Linked DNA regions of Arabidopsis thaliana. The protein of the gene in region 1 purifies or fractionates together with the protein of each later gene. This does not show direct contact. Each region holds a gene or a part of one and is shown on either strand. Other genes may lie near its edges. The genes, in order: PCFS4 and FY.

The links.
Region 2: the proteins of PCFS4 (region 1) and FY purify together in Arabidopsis thaliana (affinity purification with western blotting, with the first as the bait; one study listed by BioGRID). This does not show direct contact.

What each region holds. Positions count from the first base shown.
Region 1 is NC_003075.7:2,468,702-2,478,049, reverse strand, and holds PCFS4 (PCF11P-similar protein 4), read right to left. Parts: upstream 6,185-9,348; 5' UTR 5,968-6,184; coding exon 5,635-5,967; intron 5,473-5,634; coding exon 5,371-5,472; intron 5,282-5,370; coding exon 5,042-5,281; intron 4,586-5,041; coding exon 3,395-4,585; intron 3,314-3,394; coding exon 2,798-3,313; intron 2,678-2,797; coding exon 2,633-2,677; 3' UTR 2,025-2,632; downstream 1-2,024. Other genes in the region: PDF2 (protodermal factor 2), read left to right, coding at 98-369, 497-592, 679-1,080.
Region 2 is NC_003076.8:4,324,962-4,335,571, forward strand, and holds FY (Transducin/WD40 repeat-like superfamily protein), read right to left. Parts: upstream 7,011-10,610; 5' UTR 6,667-7,010; exon of another isoform or gene 6,597-6,666; coding exon of another isoform or gene 6,561-6,596; coding exon 6,473-6,560; intron 6,393-6,472; coding exon 6,301-6,392; intron 6,092-6,300; coding exon 5,954-6,091; intron 5,876-5,953; coding exon 5,771-5,875; intron 5,625-5,770; coding exon 5,529-5,624; intron 5,425-5,528; coding exon 5,342-5,424; intron 5,229-5,341; coding exon 5,157-5,228; intron 5,086-5,156; coding exon 4,988-5,085; intron 4,670-4,987; coding exon 4,610-4,669; intron 4,501-4,609; coding exon 4,440-4,500; intron 4,351-4,439; coding exon 4,263-4,350; intron 4,148-4,262; coding exon 4,084-4,147; intron 3,834-4,083; coding exon 3,755-3,833; intron 3,533-3,754; coding exon 3,443-3,532; intron 3,318-3,442; coding exon 3,235-3,317; intron 2,758-3,234; coding exon 2,309-2,757; intron 2,157-2,308; coding exon 1,986-2,156; coding exon of another isoform or gene 1,968-1,985; exon of another isoform or gene 1,818-1,967; intron 1,737-1,817; and 4 more.

The DNA.
Region 1 (9,348 bases):
GATCAATTCAAATATGTTGGGGCTAAATTAAATGAAAACGTTAGTTTTAATTTTTACTAATTTGGTCCTTATAATTTATGGTAATTAATATATGTAGTGATAACGAGTCCTGAAGGAAGGAAGAGTATGTTGAAGCTAGCTGAGAGAATGGTTATGAGTTTCTGCAGTGGTGTTGGCGCGTCGACTGCACACGCTTGGACAACAATGTCGACAACAGGATCCGATGATGTTCGGGTCATGACCCGCAAGAGTATGGATGATCCAGGAAGACCTCCGGGTATTGTTCTTAGTGCAGCTACTTCATTCTGGATCCCAGTTGCTCCCAAACGTGTTTTTGATTTCCTCCGTGACGAAAATTCAAGAAAAGAGGTAATGCAAAAGTTTAAAATTATTACTTCAGACCAAATTGAATAAACAAAGAAAATAGGGTTAGAACCTTGCGAGTCACGATTTGTAGATTTAGGTTTGTTAATTTAGGTTTTGAACTTTGATGCAGTGGGATATTCTGTCAAATGGAGGTATGGTTCAGGAAATGGCTCATATAGCCAATGGTCATGAACCTGGAAACTGTGTCTCCTTGCTCCGAGTCAATGTAAGACTTGACATTATTAACTATCGATATTTTCTCTTTGTTTTATCGTTTTCAGATTGAGGAAACTTTGTTGTTGTTGTAAACAGAGTGGAAACTCGAGCCAGAGCAACATGTTGATTCTACAAGAGAGCTGTACAGATGCATCAGGATCGTATGTGATTTACGCGCCAGTGGATATAGTGGCGATGAATGTGGTTCTAAGCGGTGGAGATCCTGATTACGTGGCGTTGTTGCCGTCTGGTTTTGCTATTTTACCGGATGGTTCGGTTGGAGGAGGAGATGGGAATCAGCATCAGGAAATGGTTTCTACTACTTCTTCTGGGAGTTGTGGTGGTTCGCTTTTAACCGTTGCGTTTCAGATTCTTGTTGACTCTGTTCCTACAGCTAAACTCTCACTTGGCTCGGTGGCTACGGTTAATAGTCTGATCAAATGTACGGTGGAGAGGATTAAAGCTGCTGTTTCTTGTGATGTTGGAGGAGGAGCGTAGTTTTTTTTCAGGTATGATTCCACAACTAAGATCTTAACCGAATGGGATTCTTGTGGAGCAAGTAACAAGTGTTTTTTCCTTATGCAGAAGAAGTAAGAATAAGAGAAAAGGAAGGATTAAGAGCGGTTATGGTTTCTCATTTTGTGTTTTTTGAAATCCAAAGGAAGTCAAGAACGCACCTTTTGCGTTTAATTTCATCTCAAGCTGATGAAAAAAGGTAAAGTGGTTCGGGTATTGACTTCTGCTGGAAACCACGGTTTTAAATTGTCTATTTTGCGTTTCGTTGACAGTTTTTTGAACACCTTTTGGGTTTCCCCTTTTTGCGTTCTCCGACCCAAGTTGTCAGTTTCTTTGTTGTTTTGTATTGTAAGCCCTTTTGTTGCACTTGACAGATATGGAGTTAAAATCTTTGTTATTAGTACACTACTAGTTTCTGTTAGCTCTCTCTTATCCCATTCAACCAACGGTCCAATTTTCTAACAAAGGCAAAATAAAAGGGCAATGATGTGTGTTCTTAACCTGATCTTTTGTTCTAGCTTAGTTCATATTGCATATTGCAAGCTGTTTTCTTATATTCATACTATAATAGACTATTTTCACAATGTATATAACAAACATGAATTTTACTCCAGCCATTACATCTATTGATCATCACATACTCTTGTTTAGAGACTAACGGTTGAGACAAAGCCAGATTTGAACTGAGTTTGCTCTGCAGTCCTATAAGGTACTACCAGAACTAAATCATAACCTTTAAATCTTTATAATTCCATATTTCAAATGTAACAGTCATGAAAAAACTCTAGTTTGATCGAGCAAAAAGCCAAGTAAGTTCGAAAGCTTTAACTATCGTTCAATCTACTTCGACATAAATCCGGCTCTGTATCATGTAGGTATGAAGATACAAGTAGTGGAAATTTCAAAAGCAAAAGGTTCAGATAGAAGAAAAGTAAAACTTGTTTCATTATAGACAAAGTCAAGAGAACAAATACGCTTAAAGAGAGTTATGTTAACTAACATTTTTAGCTAACAGCCTAACATAGAAAGGTAAAACTCAGACAGGGAAAGCTCTAAAGAAGAAACCTGAAACTGGTTCTCTTAGCAACAGCATCTATGAGATCCATTCATCATAAGAAATCTGTTCACATTCGAATATCAGTCTTCTCGGGCTTTCCCTGCAATATCTAAAGATGAAAAAGAAAAAGACAATCCGAAACAGAGACATTGTATTCCATTTACATGGGGAAACTACTGTTGCGACATCTGATTTTACTACTACAAGCACCCCAGGTTAGGTGTAGCAGAGAATGCAGAACAGTTACACGATATCCATGTCCTAAGGCACAACAGGAATTTAGAGGCATAAAGAATGATAATATATGTGGGTGTAAACCTCTTTTTTTCAATGGTACAGTTTTAGGAGAAAGAAGACTCTCTCCATCATTTCTCTTCATTGGTGGTATTCTGTGACTAAGTGCATATAGATGATGAAGAAATAAGAATGTAACTTAAATGTAGTCAAGAAAAAGACCTAAAATTCGGTCTAAGGGATCTAACTCCGCATCTTTTTCCTCTGACTACCCTCTTCCATATCACCCTGAAAAAGCCATGATCGGGAAATCAAGAGGTCGTCACTGGATAAATGTCTAGCAGCGAAAATGAAAATGGATTCAACTAGACACAAATGAAGCTAATGAAAATGCATGGAATGGCTTACCCCATTGGACTCTGGCCTGCACTTTGCATGCACTATAGGACCTAACTGAGACTTGTCCATATCTGTTGTTGATTCTTCAGGAGCATTCATGTATACCGCACCTTTGTACATCCATTCCTCGGTTTCATCACTATAAAAGTCTTCAAATGGCTCACCACATAATGCACATGAAGTTTGGTCTTCATCTGCAGGAACTGCCATATCTTCGTCATCCTTCTTTTCTGTTGTTGGCTCCGTGGGCAAGAACCCTGGTACTGCTTCAGCTCCAAGTGCTTCTGCACCACTGAGCCACATGCTAGCACTTACAAACCATTTCCGAGAAGGGTTCTGCTTATGGTTCTTGGACATCCTGTTCTTGGTTACATGCCAATCCATGTGCTTACTGTGCTCTTCTTGGCACTTGAAGCGTAGACCACAGGTTGTGCATTGCCTCGGGAGATCCCCATATAAAGCACTGATTGCAGACTCATTACGTATCTTGAGCATGTCTGCATCAAACTCCAACCCCAATGGTCCCTGAATATATAAACCAACAATTCAAGATAAAGCAATAACTAAGAACAAACCGACTCTCAAGGACATGATTTGAATAATTACCTGACCAGCAGGCTGATTGTTCAATGAGATCAAACCTTGAGCCATGAGAGAGCCAATCAGACCAGAGAATGCGCCACCTGGTGGTTGATTAGAGGCTCCTATCTGAGATAAAACTCCTGAAGAAAGAGGATGCATGGCTTCCCCACCTTGGATTGATAAAGATGGTCTAATGGTTGACCCATGTGGAGGGTACCCATGACTTACGTGGGTTAACAACGATTGCATTGGCCTTGGAGCCATAGCAGATGAGGATGGCAAATAATTAACTAGCATCTGATTCTGTTGAGTCATATCATTAAGATGACTCTGAGAGACCTGGTTTTCGGGCCTATATAAAGGCTTACCTTGCAAGCGATTTGACATCGCATTACCGGGATTTGCCAAATGATGCAAATGAGCAGAAGGTACAGGGAGAGAGTTGGGTCCTCTAGCACTCAAATGGGGCCATGTCCCATCAGGAAGAGCCCGGCCAAAACGTGAGTTAACATCTTGAATGCTATCAAATGGAGGAGCCCCGAATTCACTGTTTGATGAAACTAACCCTACAGATGAAGCCAATACTTTCAAGTCTTTTCCTGCTCTTGTATCAACACGGTTGGATGTATGTGGATAATTTTGTGACAAACTCCAATTTTCTCGTAGCTGATGACTTACACCATTCTTAATGTCAGAATCTAAATGAAAATCACTTGTGTTTCCTACTCTGGGTCTTGCCCTTACACTTCCTAATGCTGGTACAGATGATCGCAAAAATTCACCAGCTCTGCTACGATCTAGGGTAGGGCTCATATCTTCCCAATCAAACTCTTCTTCCTCAGTGTTCTGCCATGGTGTAACCATCTTACTGTGCATGCCATTCATATCGCGAATTGGTTTATTGATCGTTACGTGTTTGCTGGTGTCAACTCCATATGCATCTATCAACGCTCTAGGTCTTTCGTGATCATTTCCTTGGCCTAAGTTTTCCTTTCTTCGCCATTCCATATGTTCATCATCTCTGCTAGTAGCTCGACCCATTCCATAGTTAAAAGCTTGATTAGAAGGATTAGCTCCATCATTAGACCTCCTGGTAAAACCATCTGGTGTACTAGACAGTGAAGATGGGCTCTCTAACTGATCTTCGAAATCATTATACCCACCGAGTGAATTTTGGCCATAAACTCTTGCACTGGAATTAATTCCTCTCAAATTCTGCATGTCAAGCAAGAGCAATTAAGGAAATATGCATCTCAGGTATAGTCACTCTTTGAAAAAAAACATATAAAAACAGTTCCAAACGACACATGATGCATAAACAGTGATCTACTGTACTATAACCAAAAAAAAACCCTCTACATGTGCTAACAAGATCATTTCTAATGTACCAGAGTCCCAGTGACCTACTCATCATGTATAACTGAGAGAGGCCATAACAACAACTCCCTTCCAGTCAAGATTGATTACTTGAAGAATGTAAACATCTATCTCGTCTAACTAACAAAACTTTAAAGAAATACAATGGATAAGACCACTATGAGGCCAAACTAATCTAATACCCGTTTTACTTAGTACACTTATATAAAATTAACACACCATAGCTTCAAGGTTGCAGATGCACCTAAAAAAAGAATGTCATCTCTGTTCATAATGACAAAGAGAAAGGCTTACATTTTCGGCGGCTGAGGGCTCCAGCCTGCGAAGATATTTTGGATTAACATGTATACCTCTCGTTGGTTGACTAGGCTCAGAAGCCCCTACGGAAGATTGGTTTGCTGCAGATGAAAGTTGCAATTGCATATCAATCTTGCGTAGTACAGGTGGTGGAAAAACACTCGACCAAGTCCCAAACAGGTGACGCATTGACGGATGTAAACTCGGATGTGCTTGCCTATATGCAAGGCAGAAGACCTAAAGCAGAATAGGATCAAAACAGCTCATGGGTATGCTTCAGCCCTATTCAAATCATTTAAGTAAACATCTTCTTGTAGACTGCTCACCTCGGGTAGACGGGATGAGAAATAGCGACCATAATCCCGCCCAATGTTCTTAACAATGCTGTCTAAAAGATACAGAGATGGCAACTTTTGCTCAACAGGAGCCTGCATATATACACCCACAGGTAACTCAGAAGCAGCCATTTCACTAAACCACAAACCAAACACTAATCTCTGACAATCAAAAACCTAATTTTTTTCCCACTTCTACACTTACATACTATACAATAAGGCTAGAAAGTGGAAACAAATAAGAAGAAAGCAAACCTCAAGGATTCGAGTGCAAATAGCATTAGCGATTCCTTCACCATGTTCCCGTTGTTCACCAGCGATAATAGTGAGATCAGTGATAATAGGCTTAGAATTGAAAGTAAGCTCACCCAAAACAACCTCATAAAGCTGAACAATCTCATCCATACTCGGAGGCAAAACCTCTTCACCACCACCGAACTCATCTTCACGCTGATTAAGCAAAGCTTTAAACCGGTCTAACAACGACGGCGGTGGCGGCGGTTTCTGCGGCAACTCAACGGACATACCTTTGCGGCTGGTGCTATTAATCGAAACAAGTCTTGGATTGAGGATTTTCTCTGAGTCCATCCCCAATTCAATAGTGAAGAGTGATAATTAGTGGCAGCATAAAGGCTCTAGGGTTTCTGTTCCACCATGGAAACTCCTCGAATCGCCACCCTTGTGGGGGAAGAGAGAGATAGAGATCGATAACGGAAGTTTTTTTTTTTTTAGTGAAGAGGATTTTTTTTTCTTCTCAATTTTGTATCTCTACTTTATGCAAATCTCATTTTTGTCCCTTTTTTTTTAGAGTTATCAACTACATCCCAATTATTGTTTTTACCCGTTTTGAGTCACACAGATTTTTGACTTTTACTATGACCTCATCAATTAATCACGTTGCAATTCTCTTCTTTCCCTTATTTGAAAAGTTTGATCTTGCCTCTTGGTGACACTAAATTTAGTTTTGAGGAACTATTTCATTTCTTAGCTTATTTATCTATCTTGATAAAGTTTGAATCTATCTTGTTTTGATTCTACTCATGGACTATGAATGATTTTTTTTTTGGTAGACAATTAGATTTTATATTATTTTTGATTTTTGACAGAAATACAGAGATTAGCAAGAAGCGGATTAAAACAATCTACAAAAATAAATACAACATTACAACTCTAATTCATTCAGTTCGCTTTTATGCGTTCAAGGCTAAGTTACGAGTTGAAACACCGATTTTGAACTCGTGAAACTCGGAAATTTGTGTGGTTGTCACATGACCGAAAAAGTGGAATTCTCATGGTAGTTGCCACGAGCATATCTTCGAGAACTTGATTCAAATTGATACAGTTAAAAACACCACCATCAAACCACGTCCTTGTTACGTTTCTTTAAGTTATATTAAAAAAATGTTGGATTAGTTGTATAAAATCCTATAAGGGTTTGAGTTTATTATTACATAATTATAATTATATAGCTTCCTATTTTATAAGTTTAAATTTAATATTTGTTAGTTCCTTTGTTTTTACATTTTAAAATATAAAGTAATTGCTATTTTCAAAAATGTTAATTAATTAGATGCTAAATATGTTAATTATTGATGTGGCAGCTCCCGATTGGTTGTTTTCAAAAATGTTAATTAATTAGATACTAAATATGTTAATTATTTATGTGGCAACTCCCGATTAGTCGTTCTAAATCCTAGGTTATGAATCCACGCTACGCATGGGTCTATTTGTAAAACTTTTTAATATTTTTTTGTGTGAATAAAATTATTATAGAAATTTTTTAAAAGATATGTTTTTATATGTCTACTTGTTGTTAATATTATAAACTCTTTGAATTTTAAAATTACCATGACAATAGTTACAATTTAAATACAAAACTAAAAATAACTTTAATACAACTTTTAGGTTTACAACATTTATCAAAAGAACATTTTTTTGGCTCATGACTCTCTCTTTAGCTTTAGATATTTAGGATCACGACGTCTTTTTATGTATGAAATAAATTGTTTTATGGAAAATAACTTCGACGACTTTCTCATTTTGAAATCCGTAAATTTACTATTCTTTTTTGTTTATCTTCGCTGCATTAGTTAGTATAGCTCGTCTAAAAATAAGATATTATATAGAAGTATATTCATAAGCTTATCTATACTTTACTTTAACAACTCATATTTTCTCACATTCTTTTCAATATGTATATGAATTTCTGTCTTCACAATTTTTTTACAAAGAGCTATCACTCTCCCTATCTTTTTGCAAGCACTCGTTTTATTTGTTTCATTTTTTCTTACAGTGTCTCTTTCCATCCTCTTATGATTTTGTTTAAGCAATATGTGTCATACCTTCTAAACTTTTCACATGTTCCATATTTTTTCTTCGAAAATCTCTTTCTTCTCTAGTTAGTACTAGGGCGAAACCCGAACCAAATCGCGGGCTTTTTTTATTAAAAAATGTAATTTTGTTAAGTTGTATGTAGGTATTGAATGTTATTTGTCATGATTCATGATATATGTAGAACAAAAGAATTCATTAGAAAGTGATTAAGAGCTCAATGCATTTGTTAATTTTTTAAAGTAAGATCTATATAGCTTTTATAAGTTTTGGAAGCTAATTTTTTTGTATTACGAACATCTTTTTAGAAGAGTCATTAAAAAACAAAAGTGAAAAGAGTTAAAAATCACCAGGTGCTGATTCTGGTGAGGTTAAAGTCATTGAAGATTCTTAAGAATATGTTATATGGAGTTATCATATTTGATTTTGATGTTCCATATGCATATTTGATTCATACGTTGAAGAAGTATAAAAAAACTAAAAGCTATGTTTGTTTGTTTTTCAAAACTTGAAAATTGAAACTTATATTATTGGAGAATCGAATAACCATACCAGAAAAGAGATAAATTTAATTAGACCTTAAAAAACAAAAATGACATCTTAGTTGTACTAAAATCTCTAAACCGATTGAATATAATCAAAAAAAATTCAAATGGCTTCATCAACCCATCAATTTATTCATTATCAACACAATATCATCATCATCATTACCCTCTCATAATATCATATTACCATCACCATCATCATCATACTATCTTCTTCATCATCATATCAACATACCATAGTCATGATAGATATCATCATTGATGATAACATTATCATAAACTCGTAATTTTCATGCCAAAAACATAAAATCTTAATTTTTTTGCCAAAAAAGTAATCCCGTAATTTTCCCGCCAAAAAAAGAAATCCGTAATTTTTCCGCCAAAAACGTAAACCCGTAATTTCCGCCAAAAAACCTAAACCTTCAATTTTCCCGCCAAAAAACGTAAAGCCGTAATTTTGCCGCAAAAAAAATGTAAACCCGTAATTTTTCTGCCAAAAACGTAAACCCGTAATTAGCTTGCTAAAAACATAAACCCGTAATTTTTCTACCATAAACGTAAATCCGTTAACCAGTCATAAACCTTCCAAAAATGCACCAATTTTTAACCGTTAAACCAGTCGTTCAAAAAGGTTTATAATGCTTGAAACCGCAACTGTCTGATTCCGTAAACTCATGCAGTCACAAATGCAGGCACTGCGTTTCAACCAGTCAAGCCTTTAGATAAGTTTTCTTAGTCATGGGCATTCGATTATCCATTCAGTATCGATTCGTATCCATTCGGTTATTAGTTCTTTCAGTTATAAAGTTTAGTATCCATTCGGTTATTTTAAAATTATGGTTCGGTTTCAGTTCGGATTCGGTTTTAAAAATTAATATCTATTCGGTTATTTTTCTTTAAATATTTTTAGATATTTTAGTTATTTTTGATATTTTCATATATTTTTGGTTACTTTCGAGTATTTTTACTATTATACGTATATCTATTTTTAATTATTAGGTTTAGAAATAACTAATATTTTTAAAATATAATTATATTTTGGATATTTTCGGTTATCCAAAATCTTTTGGTCTCTATCCATTCGGTTTCGGTT
Region 2 (10,610 bases), on another chromosome or scaffold:
GCTGATTTGGCTGTTGTTTACTGCTTCGGGTTCCTTATGGGTCTCTTGGGTTCGGTTGCATCTAATCGGCCGTAGGAACTTTTGGAATCTTAATCCCTATCTCTCGGGCAGCTGGGTTTGGAGGAAGCTCTGTAAACTTAGAGAAGTTGCTCGTCCTTTTGTTATTTGCGAAGTTGGTTCAGGAATCACTGCTAGCTTTTGGCAGGATAACTGGACAGGTCATGGACCGCTTATACACTTAACGGGGTTGACCGGTCCTCAGCTGGTTGGGCTTTCCATTACCTCTGTTGTCAGGGACGCCATTAGGAACGATGACTGGTGGATTGCCTCTAGTAGAAGCAGGAATCCGGTTATTCTTCTTCTGAAATCTCTTCTTCCTCCTGTTGGGAATTTGGTTGATTGTGAGCATGATGACTCTTATCTTTGGAAAGTAGGTGATCGGGTGCCTTCTTCAAAGTTTTCTACAGCGGATACTTGGAGAGCTCTCCAACCGTTCTCTGTCTCAGTCTCTTGGCACAAGGCAGTTTGGTTTACAAATCAGGTTCCTAAGCATGCTTTCATCTCATGGGTAACTGCTTGGAATAGGCTACACACTCGGGACAGGTTAAGAAGTTGGGGGCTCCTTGTTCATGCTGAGTGTGTTCTGTGTAACTTGGTCGATGAAACTCGGGACCATCTCTTCTTTGCTTGTAGGTTCAGCTCAAGAATTTGGACCTTCTTTATGAGGGCGGTTGGATTTTCGCCGCCTCCTCAGTTCATGAATTGCTTGCTGTGGCTTAATTCGGCTACAAGGGACAAGAATCTAATGCTCATTATCAAGCTTCTCTTCCAAGCTTCTGTCTACTTTATTTGGAAAGAGCGTAATGCTCGTATTCAATTTGAAATCAGGCGGCCTTCTCATCTTATCACTAAGGAAATTCAGATGGTGATAAGGGCTCGGTTGGATCCTCTCTCTCGCTCCCGCGCTCCTGGGAGATCCGGACTCTCGCTTTTGGGTTCTTGGTTTTCTCTCTTCCTCAATAGAGATCCTCCTCAAGTCTGATGCTTTCTCCTTGTGCAGGTTTTCAAAGGGTCGGGCTTTGGTGTTCTAGCTCCTTCGCCGTCTGCTGTGGTGGCTTGGGTCTTCTGGGCTTCTGCCTTTGATCTAGCCTTTTAAACTTGTATTTGGTTGTTTTTTGTTCTTTCAGGCCTGCGTGCTGTGTTGGCCTTTTGGCTTTGTATTGCAACTTTTTTTGGTTAATTGGAAATTTATGAAAAAAAAAAAAAAAAAAAAAAAAGTTTGTCGGGTTAACGAAAACTAGAGTATTTGACATGTGAAGCCACTAAAACTTCGTAACTTGTTCACATTAAGTATCAAAACTAGAGTATTATGACTGTGGTCACTTAACATAAAATATATGAATTTAATTATTAAAAATACAAAAAAGACATGTGCCATAAATCATAGTATTTCATCAATACTTTCTCCACATGGAAGTTGTTACTATGCTCAAATATTTTACGGGTGCAAAAAATTCTAATACAAATTATTTGCATATTGGAACAGAACAAAAACCTTTTTTTTTTATGTTTTGTTTTATAGAAACGAAATTTGAATCCCATATAATAGTTTTACTTCAATCGTTTTATCCCGCAGACAGTGCGGTTGTAAACTAATGTACTAATACAACGGCTGCCTACTGATGTTGCTGATTGTTGTTTGGTGGAGGGCCAGGAGGTAAAGGTGGCTGCTGCTGCTGCACGAAATAAAATATAGACAACGGATTAGTCAACGGATTATGCTATTTTAGCTCTACATTTTCAACATCTAATCATACCATTGAACCTAGCTAGTGAGTTTAAAACTAGCTGAGAAAGTTGTATTGTGGTTCAATCGTATCAGGTGTTTTGCATTGTTGTGTAGACATTTTGCCTATTTGCACATATATACATGTGAAACCTTTACGGGTATACTAAATAACAAAAGACTAGTGTTTAAATGGGACCTGTTGGAAAGGGTTGTTGTAGCCTGGAATCATCTGTGGACGGTTGAAACCACCACGTCCTTGGGGATACATTTGGGGTCCGCCACTGTTTGGTTGTCCTTGAAATACTCCTGAAGGAGCACCCATAAAATGACTTTGCGACATCTGAGGATTCATGCCACCTTGCATTCCCTACTCCAACAACAAGTGAGGATTAATATCTCTTTCTACACCTCTCTAAGATATCACTAAGAAAATAAAACAAAGAGGAATCCAACACATGGGGTACCGACAAAAGCCAGGCTTAAGTTGTGGTTGAATTACAAGAGATCTGAGGGCCATACCATTGATCCAGGCATCTGATGAGACATAGGCATTGAGGGAGGTGGCATGTGACCGTGAGGAGGCATTTGCATAGGCCGGGGAAGATGATGAGGGTGCAATGGCATATGAGATGATGGTGGTAGCTGATGGTGAGGCATATTGGGCATTGGAAGCATTTGCTGGGGATGACCTTGGTGTTGTTGTTGTTGCTGATACCCTTGCTGCTGGCCACTTCCAAGAAGCGATGGGTGGGGACCAGGTGGCAAAGGAGGAGCCCCCAGTGCCATGGAACCTGGAAGAGGCTGTTTATGATCCCCTTGAGAGGATGCATCAAATGGCATTGCTATTCCTATTCCTGGGATAGTCCCCTCGTTCCGTGTCAACCCAGGCACAAATGCTCCAGGGATTGGCGATGCCTCAGATGGTTGGAAATTATCAGGTTGGCGACCAAAACCTTGTTCATTATAGCCTGATACAAATTACGCTTATCAGTACACACAAATCACATCTTCAATTTGTTAGTAAACACTAAATAAAAAACACTAATTTCTGACAAATGCAACTTGAAAGTACATGCTCAAAATTAAAACAGTAAGTGAGATACTAATGACCGAGTACTTGGGTCTGAGTTTTTAAAGCCTGTAGAAATCTGCACCTATATCAGATCAGCTCAGCTTGACCAGTCAAGTCTGTTCTTTTCTACAAAAAAATTCAGTTAATCACGGTGCCATATGGCTGGCCGAGCCTGAACCTTAAAAAGCCAAGGTCCATTTCGAACCAGCCATTATAGGAGTATATGACTGACCCTGCCAGGGCCTGACCAGTTAAGCCTATCACAACATCCTTACTACTGAGATGGATAAGGACATAGTAATTATGTACTACCCACAACCTATCCATCCCAATGCCTACTAAAAAATCAGATACTAATAGCCCAAAAACAAACCTTGGTTCTGCATAAGAACATCTCGGGGATTATCTGCAGGCCTGTTTCTGCACCAAAACTTGGTTGTGTGATCATTGCTACCACTGCAGATAATAGGGTTAAAAATCATTATCTGAAGCATTTAGTTATTCAAGAGCACAGGGAACCACAACACATCATAGAATAAAACTGTAAGGAACTCATAGCACCAGACTATTGAAATTGCTACCTGCAAAGAAGATATCCAATAGGATGCCATGCAAGATCCCAAACACTGTTATCATGAGCATTTGGGATTTCAATCTGCGGGTTTTCATGCCTGGGAATTAAGAAAAGTTTTCATAATTAGATACACCTCAAACAAAAACCACAAAATATAAGGTAAAGTAAGATGCTACTAGACTACTAGTATGTAGATGCATCATGACTGAATATAAAATGTAGAGAAGAAACATGATTTAAAAAACCCTTATAAGTGATTAAAACAATAGCAGCATGAACGAATAAATAAAACAGCATACTGCTGCACAACAGTACCTACCCCACAATCCAATGACAAATGGAGCCGTCAGAGCTCCCACTGACAAAATATTCTTCATGGCAGGGATGCCACGCCAAAGCTTAAAAAGAGTTAAGACAACTTTTAATTAGAAATAGTTGCAAATTAGAAATATCGAAGAAACAAATTGAAAACTCGCATCCATGGGATAATGTCTCATATGTCGACAAGTAAAGCATGGGTACAATGATAATCTTTCAAAGGCATATACTCTAGAGTCCTAGTCAATGTACAGAAAAGTAATTTGATGCGGCCAGTTTGTCTGATTTCACGTGTTTAAAACATGATCATTATAGAATTTGACAGCTTACATGTTACATCTTTCGTGTGCCCACGAAAGGATTGAAGCTCCTTCATAGTCCTTATATCATACAGCTGCAGATTACATGCATAAGTGTCATACAAATGCTTCCATAATGCAAGGAAAAAATCTCATTTACAAATCAATATCCCCCCCCCCCCCCCCCACCCAAAAGAAAGTGAGACTTACCTTAATTATCTGATCTTTCGAGGCCGTTAAAAGCCAATTGCCATTTTGGTTCCACTTCACGCTAAGTACTATGTTTTTGTGACCATGGCTGCAGAAGTAAGAATAGGCCATCAAATTCGTCAAAGCTTTGAACATGAAACTATAATAAAATTACATATTACATTATGTACTACTTACAGTGAGCAAAGCTCTCTCCCAGATCTAGTATCCCAGAGTTTGACAAGTTGGTCTTTTCCACCTGACAACACAGATTAAAGCGGTTAATGATCAGCCATAGAGAAGCTCTGAAATATACAGCGGTTTCTTTTTATTGCATTATTCAAATAGAAGTCTATAAAATAATGTACCAGAAACTAGTAGGGACTTTGTGGGGTGCCAGTCAACGCTCTTGACATCCCAACCATGGCCTGCCTGAGTTCAAAATATAAAGAACCCTTTGATTACTTCGAAAGTTCTCAAATATTACAAATATGAAGAAAACTGTGAAAACATGCCTCCAAAAGGATAGGAAACTTGTTATAAGCACCAATTTGGAACCTTTAAAACTAACTAACGTTACATGGCATGACACCAAAGCGAATCTCAATGACACCTTTTCCTATGTAGCCTAAGAATCCAATTCTAATAACGTACAGCACATCTCAAGCGGCCTTCTAAATTCAAATTAGAAGAGCAAGCAACAAAGAAATAAAGTATCTGCCGCCAATCTGTTCAAATAACATTACCGGTTAATGAGCTTTCATCTACGCACTTGGTAAAATCCCAGACTTTAACAGTCGTATCATCAGAACACGAACAGAACTTCAAATCTGTTTTACAAAAACTGTTGGATACACATTGTTCAGTTTTGAGAGATTCATTTAATGCAATTCAACATATCAAACTTTTTTTTACCTTAAATCGCGAATTGATTCCTTGTGAGCAGTTTTATTGGCTTTCACATTGTTCATATTGTTCTGCCAATACCTGATACATAAGAAACAATTGATCCTTATTGTCACAGCATTTGAATCATAGAATTCTGAGCTTCTCGTTTACAACATCATAAGTTAGGGACTGAAAGGGAAAAACAAATTTACTTTAATGTGCCTCCATCATCACCAGAAACCATATAATTTTCATTGTGGCTCCATACCATCGACCTAATAGGTTGATCATGTGCCTGATATTGACAACAAATTTAAACAGTCAATACCAGGAGCAGCAACTATAGAAGAATCAAAACAGAAGTTTCAACAGATTAGTTATACAATCTGAGAAACGAACCTGAAGAATCATTTCAAAATTAAAAGATTGCCCATTCCAAAGAGTAAACTCCCCACTTTGGGAGCCCGTGATAAGACGTCTTCCTGAAGGTGTCCACTAAATAAAAGAAACCCAATCAGCAATGATCCCATTAAGTTGGCATAATAGAGTTAAAACAAAGAAAGAAAGATGTTGCTTTCTTGAATAGATAAACATGGCAAACAGAGAATAATACAAAACACACAGCTGGTAGAGGGATATACCAATACACGGTTGATTGAACAACGGTTCTTGTTTAGAGATGCGTGAACAAACTTTGCAGCAAAGCTTGTTGAAGGATTATCCGAATAGGCAACTGTGGGAAGCATCTGAAGCATTGATATAAAAGTTAGATCAGTAAACCATTCAATCTTATTGCAAAACCCAGAAAAGCAAAGAAATCTAACATCAACTGCTGCAGCTGGGGTTGGTTGCAGAGTGGTCCTATCCCTTGAGTCTCGCTGCCATGTTCGAGCCTGAACAAAAACATATATGGAGTAAACACTCTCTACTTTTAGTTCCATATAAAGTATGAGTTCGTTGAACTACATATCCATATCAGTTCCATGACATAAAGACAATCCTATCTAATGGCTTTTGAGATAAAAAGGACCGAAGAATTCAACTGGGGAAAGCAGAGGCTATGAGTATATAGACCAAGACTAAAACTTTACAGAAAACAAGAGAAATATAATCAAGCAGTACAAAAGGTTCTAACAAAGAAATACTGTGAGCAGCAATGGGAATACATTACCTGAATATATCTAACAACGGTGCTGGTGTAATCAACAGCTCTTCTCTGTGTATGCTTTCTCATTCGTTTCGCCCCAAAACTGTCTACATTGGCTGCAACATCAGACAGAGAGACATTAAATCTCACAGTCATCACTAATCCGATAAAAGGAAGACGCTCAAAGTCTACTTACGGTCGAAGGGGCCAGATGGGTGGTGGTAGTCGGGATTGATGTTAGTGGAAGAAGCTGACGACTGCCGCATCATCGGTGGTTGTGGCATCTGTGAACCCCTGTGCATATCGCCGCCGGCGTACATTGTTGCCCACGGAGAACAGTGATTTATTCGAATCGAAGGGAAACTGCGAAAGTGTTCGAATTTAGGTTACCTTGAAACGAGCGTGGATCTCTCTTTAGGGTGTGCGTGTATCAAATTCGCGAATTGATGACAACCCAAGAGCAGAGAAGTACAATGGGTAGAGAAATGATGAGAAGTCGATAATGGAGTGAAGAGTAGAAATAAATCTTAGGGTTTTTTTTTCTTCCTTCTCGGCAAGCCAAACCCTCGATCGCCGGTCGGTTTTAACCGATAAGATTAATAAAATCATCAAACTAATCAAGAAGTCGATTGGTTTAGCTTTTTTAATCTCCACGATTTTTTTATTTTTTTTTTTATTTTTTTTTTTTTGGGTGTATGTTGTTACTTGGCCTACCCTATCAATTAGACACATATGTTCAGGCTGAACTATGTATTGCGAGTAGGAAATAACGGATGAGTTTGTTTAGTAAACCCATCCGTCGGCCTTCCGGTTGATCAACAAGCTCGAGGAGTGTATCTTAAGCAACTAACCGCGAGATGGCATGAAAAAGATCTGAAGAACTGTTGAGATCAACGAGATTCTAGGGTGGATACTGCGGATCGGGCAGGACACGTGAAGGACGACTATAAAAGAAAGAGGAAGAAGAATGAATAGAGGCATCGCCATTAACATTAAGAAAATCCTAGTATTGTATTCACATCGAACTCTAATGTCCCAAAGTGTGGTTTTTTCTAGTATTGTTGTTGTTTTACTGCTTATTTCACAATCATGACAGAGTGTGTGTATGAATTGTAGATGAAAACACACACATAATTCACGTATTCATAGTGGAACATATTGAATAAATATTCAACCCAAAGATAGTGGTGATGCAAATTAGTCTTTTTTTTTAAAACATTAAAATAACTAAATATTTGAAAGAGTTAAAAGTAAAAGAAAAAAAAACTGACACTAGTAAAACGAATTACAAAAATTCAGAAAATGTTACAATCTTTTTTTTTTTGGTTTAATGTTAAATTAAATGTTATAATCTTGTCATATTAGAACTTAAAATCTCCCAAATAACAAAAAAAAAAAAAAATCGATATACGTTATTCCAAACAAGATTCACTACATCCCAATGGCAATGCTATATGAAACACAATCCCAATCCGCTATTATATTCCACTACGAAACTTAATCATGTTAAAACCCTGTTTTGCACTTATAGAGTATAAATAGACTATGTTAACAGGTTTCAACATTTTTTTTTTTTTGGTTTAATGTTAAGATTTATACCAAATGAAAAAAGGTTTACATAGTACAATGAAACCCCAAAAACACACCGAGCTCTTGTGAAGAGAGACTAATGGAACACCATACATACATAAATATGAGCTTTGCCACACCTATAGTGGGGTACTAATACAACCAAAGTAGAATCCAAGGAGAGAGATAGTGGTAACTGATTCCTCCGGCGAGAAGGAGATGAGACGGTTACGCATTGTGCGATCAACGAGAATTTTTGTAGCGGAGAGAGAGGTAGCATCTGCTGAGAAATCTCTGCGGTTGCGCTCTTTCCAAATCATATAAACAGCGGTTTGAAGAAGAAGTTTTAAGATCTTACTTGCATAGTGCGGCGGAGAAGAATGTACACCAAGAACCCACATAGAAGCCAAGGGTAAAGAGAGTGGAGGATTCGGCGAAATCCTTCCAGCGAGCGAAATCCAAAGTGATCTAGAAAACTCACATTTGAAGAACAAGTGATCATGGGAATCAAGGCCAGAATCACACAGAACACAAGAACCATGTACATTCATACCCCACTGTAAAAGCCTATCTCTCGTTGTCAACCTTTCATGGGAAGCCATCCAAAGGATAAATGAAAACCTTGGGACAGATTCCTTAAACCAGACAGCTTTATGCCAAGCCACATGAGGAGAAATTTGTCTAATTTGCATCCAAGTTCCTTTCGAAGAGAATGTTTCAGAAAAAGTACCTGTGGGCTGCTTCCATTGGTACCAATCAGCACCTCTTAAAGGAGAAGGCGGGGCAACCGAGGACAAGCAAATCTGCAACTGCTCAGCTTGGTGAGATCTCGCATTGGGAAAATGCCATTGACCTTCATGTGTAGCTTCCCAAACGCTAGCATTTCTACTGATCCGAAGCTCTCTTGGGCCCAACTGACCAAAAAGCTCAATAAGGGGACCAAGGCTTGTCCAATAATCAAACCAGAAAGAGGCTTTCATACCGTCTCGCATCTGACATTTAATCAATCTCTGGAACACAGATTTTACTTCCAACATCTTCCTAATGTTCCAAGATAGACGTGGTGTGCTATCCATCAACCAATAGTTCCTTCTTCCGAAGATGTTATGGTCCAACCACATAACCCACAATGAGCCCCTTCTAGTAAAGAGGTGCCAAACCTGTTTCAACCTGAAAACAGTAGCAAATTCCTCAAGAGATCGAATACCTAACCCACCCTCCTCTTTTGTCTTACAAATGTCCTTCCAAGCAACTCTTGCACCTCTTGCAGACGAAGTAGTATTTTTCCACAAAAAAGCAGAGCAGAGATTGTCAATTTTCTTATAAAAACCCTTTGGTAGAACAAAGACTTGACTCCAGAAGTTCACTTTCCCATAAACAACAGATACTATTAACCGGATTTTCCCAGCATAAGAGAGAAACTTGGTTGTCCAGGAGTTAAGCTGCTCGGTAATCTTTTGAATAAAAGGTTGAAGTGTGGCAAGAGAAAGCTTAGTCGGGTTCAGCGGCAAGCCAAGATACCGAGAGGGAAAAACACCTATTCGAATCCCAATCAAGTCAGCAATAACAGCAGCTTCAGAATCCCCATAACCTCCAAAAAACAGCTCAGACTTTGAAGGGTTCATGTCCAAACCGGAAAAGGAATGGAAAGTTTGCAGTATACCACTAATACCAAGGAGAGAGTGCTGAGAACCATCTGAGAAAACCAATAAATCATCTGCGAAAGCTAGATGAGTTAGGCGAGGAGTGATACACAAAGGATGAGCAGAAAACTTGCCCTCCAACAGCCCACTGTCCAACATTCTGGATAACACCTCCATTACCAAAATAAAGAGATAAGGAGAGATACAATCACCTTGCCTTAAACATGCCTTTATGTGAAGATGAACATATTGACTGATCTTGCACCTTTCCATTTTCAACATGCCTTTATGTGAAGATGAACAAACATGAGCTGAAAACAAAGAAGGTGAAGCACAACCAAAGTGACATAGCATACTTTAGAGCTAGATAGAAGACGTGGGATTTAGAGCTCTTCAAGAGTCAAGGCAAATACATTTGGACTGGGATGAGGCAGCATCACAAGCCTTCCCAACCATTACTGAATCACTTCGACATTCGAAATTCTGACTCAAAACATATGACACCCTGAAGATGACCATTATAGCGATCCACTAAAATTTTGTACAACTAGCCGACGGAGGAGGAGGCGAGGAACGTAACACTGGTGGACTGATATTGTGTTTTTGTTCTTTTTTTTTTTTTTTTCCAAAACACCATTTTTTTTTGTAAATATACTGTTGGTCAAAACAAATATTAAAGATTAAAGCACTTTGACCAAAACAAAATATAAACTAAGAAATATTTGAAACGTTACCCTGTAGACAGTTGACTACAAAAACCCGTCAATGGCCAATAACATTCCAGATTTCCGGCGCCAAATAGGTGGCATGATCTACGGCCGATAACGCAGTCGTATACTTCCATAATTATATTATTCATTTTAGCAATTACAATCAACGGCTCACAATTTCAATCTCGATGATCTAACGGTCCTACAGTCCCCGAGTGTATAGAATAGTGCGTTACACTTGATTCTTTCTAGTGTGACCCTATTTCTGGAGCCAATAAAAGGCTCGTGTCAAAACTCGCCTCTTCCCCACAAAGAGAATTCTCTCATTTCTTCTTCTTCGCTCAGCTCCGACAACGAAGGGCGAAGAATCTCGCTCCCTCAATTTCGCATTGCCATCGATTTTCTTAGGTAA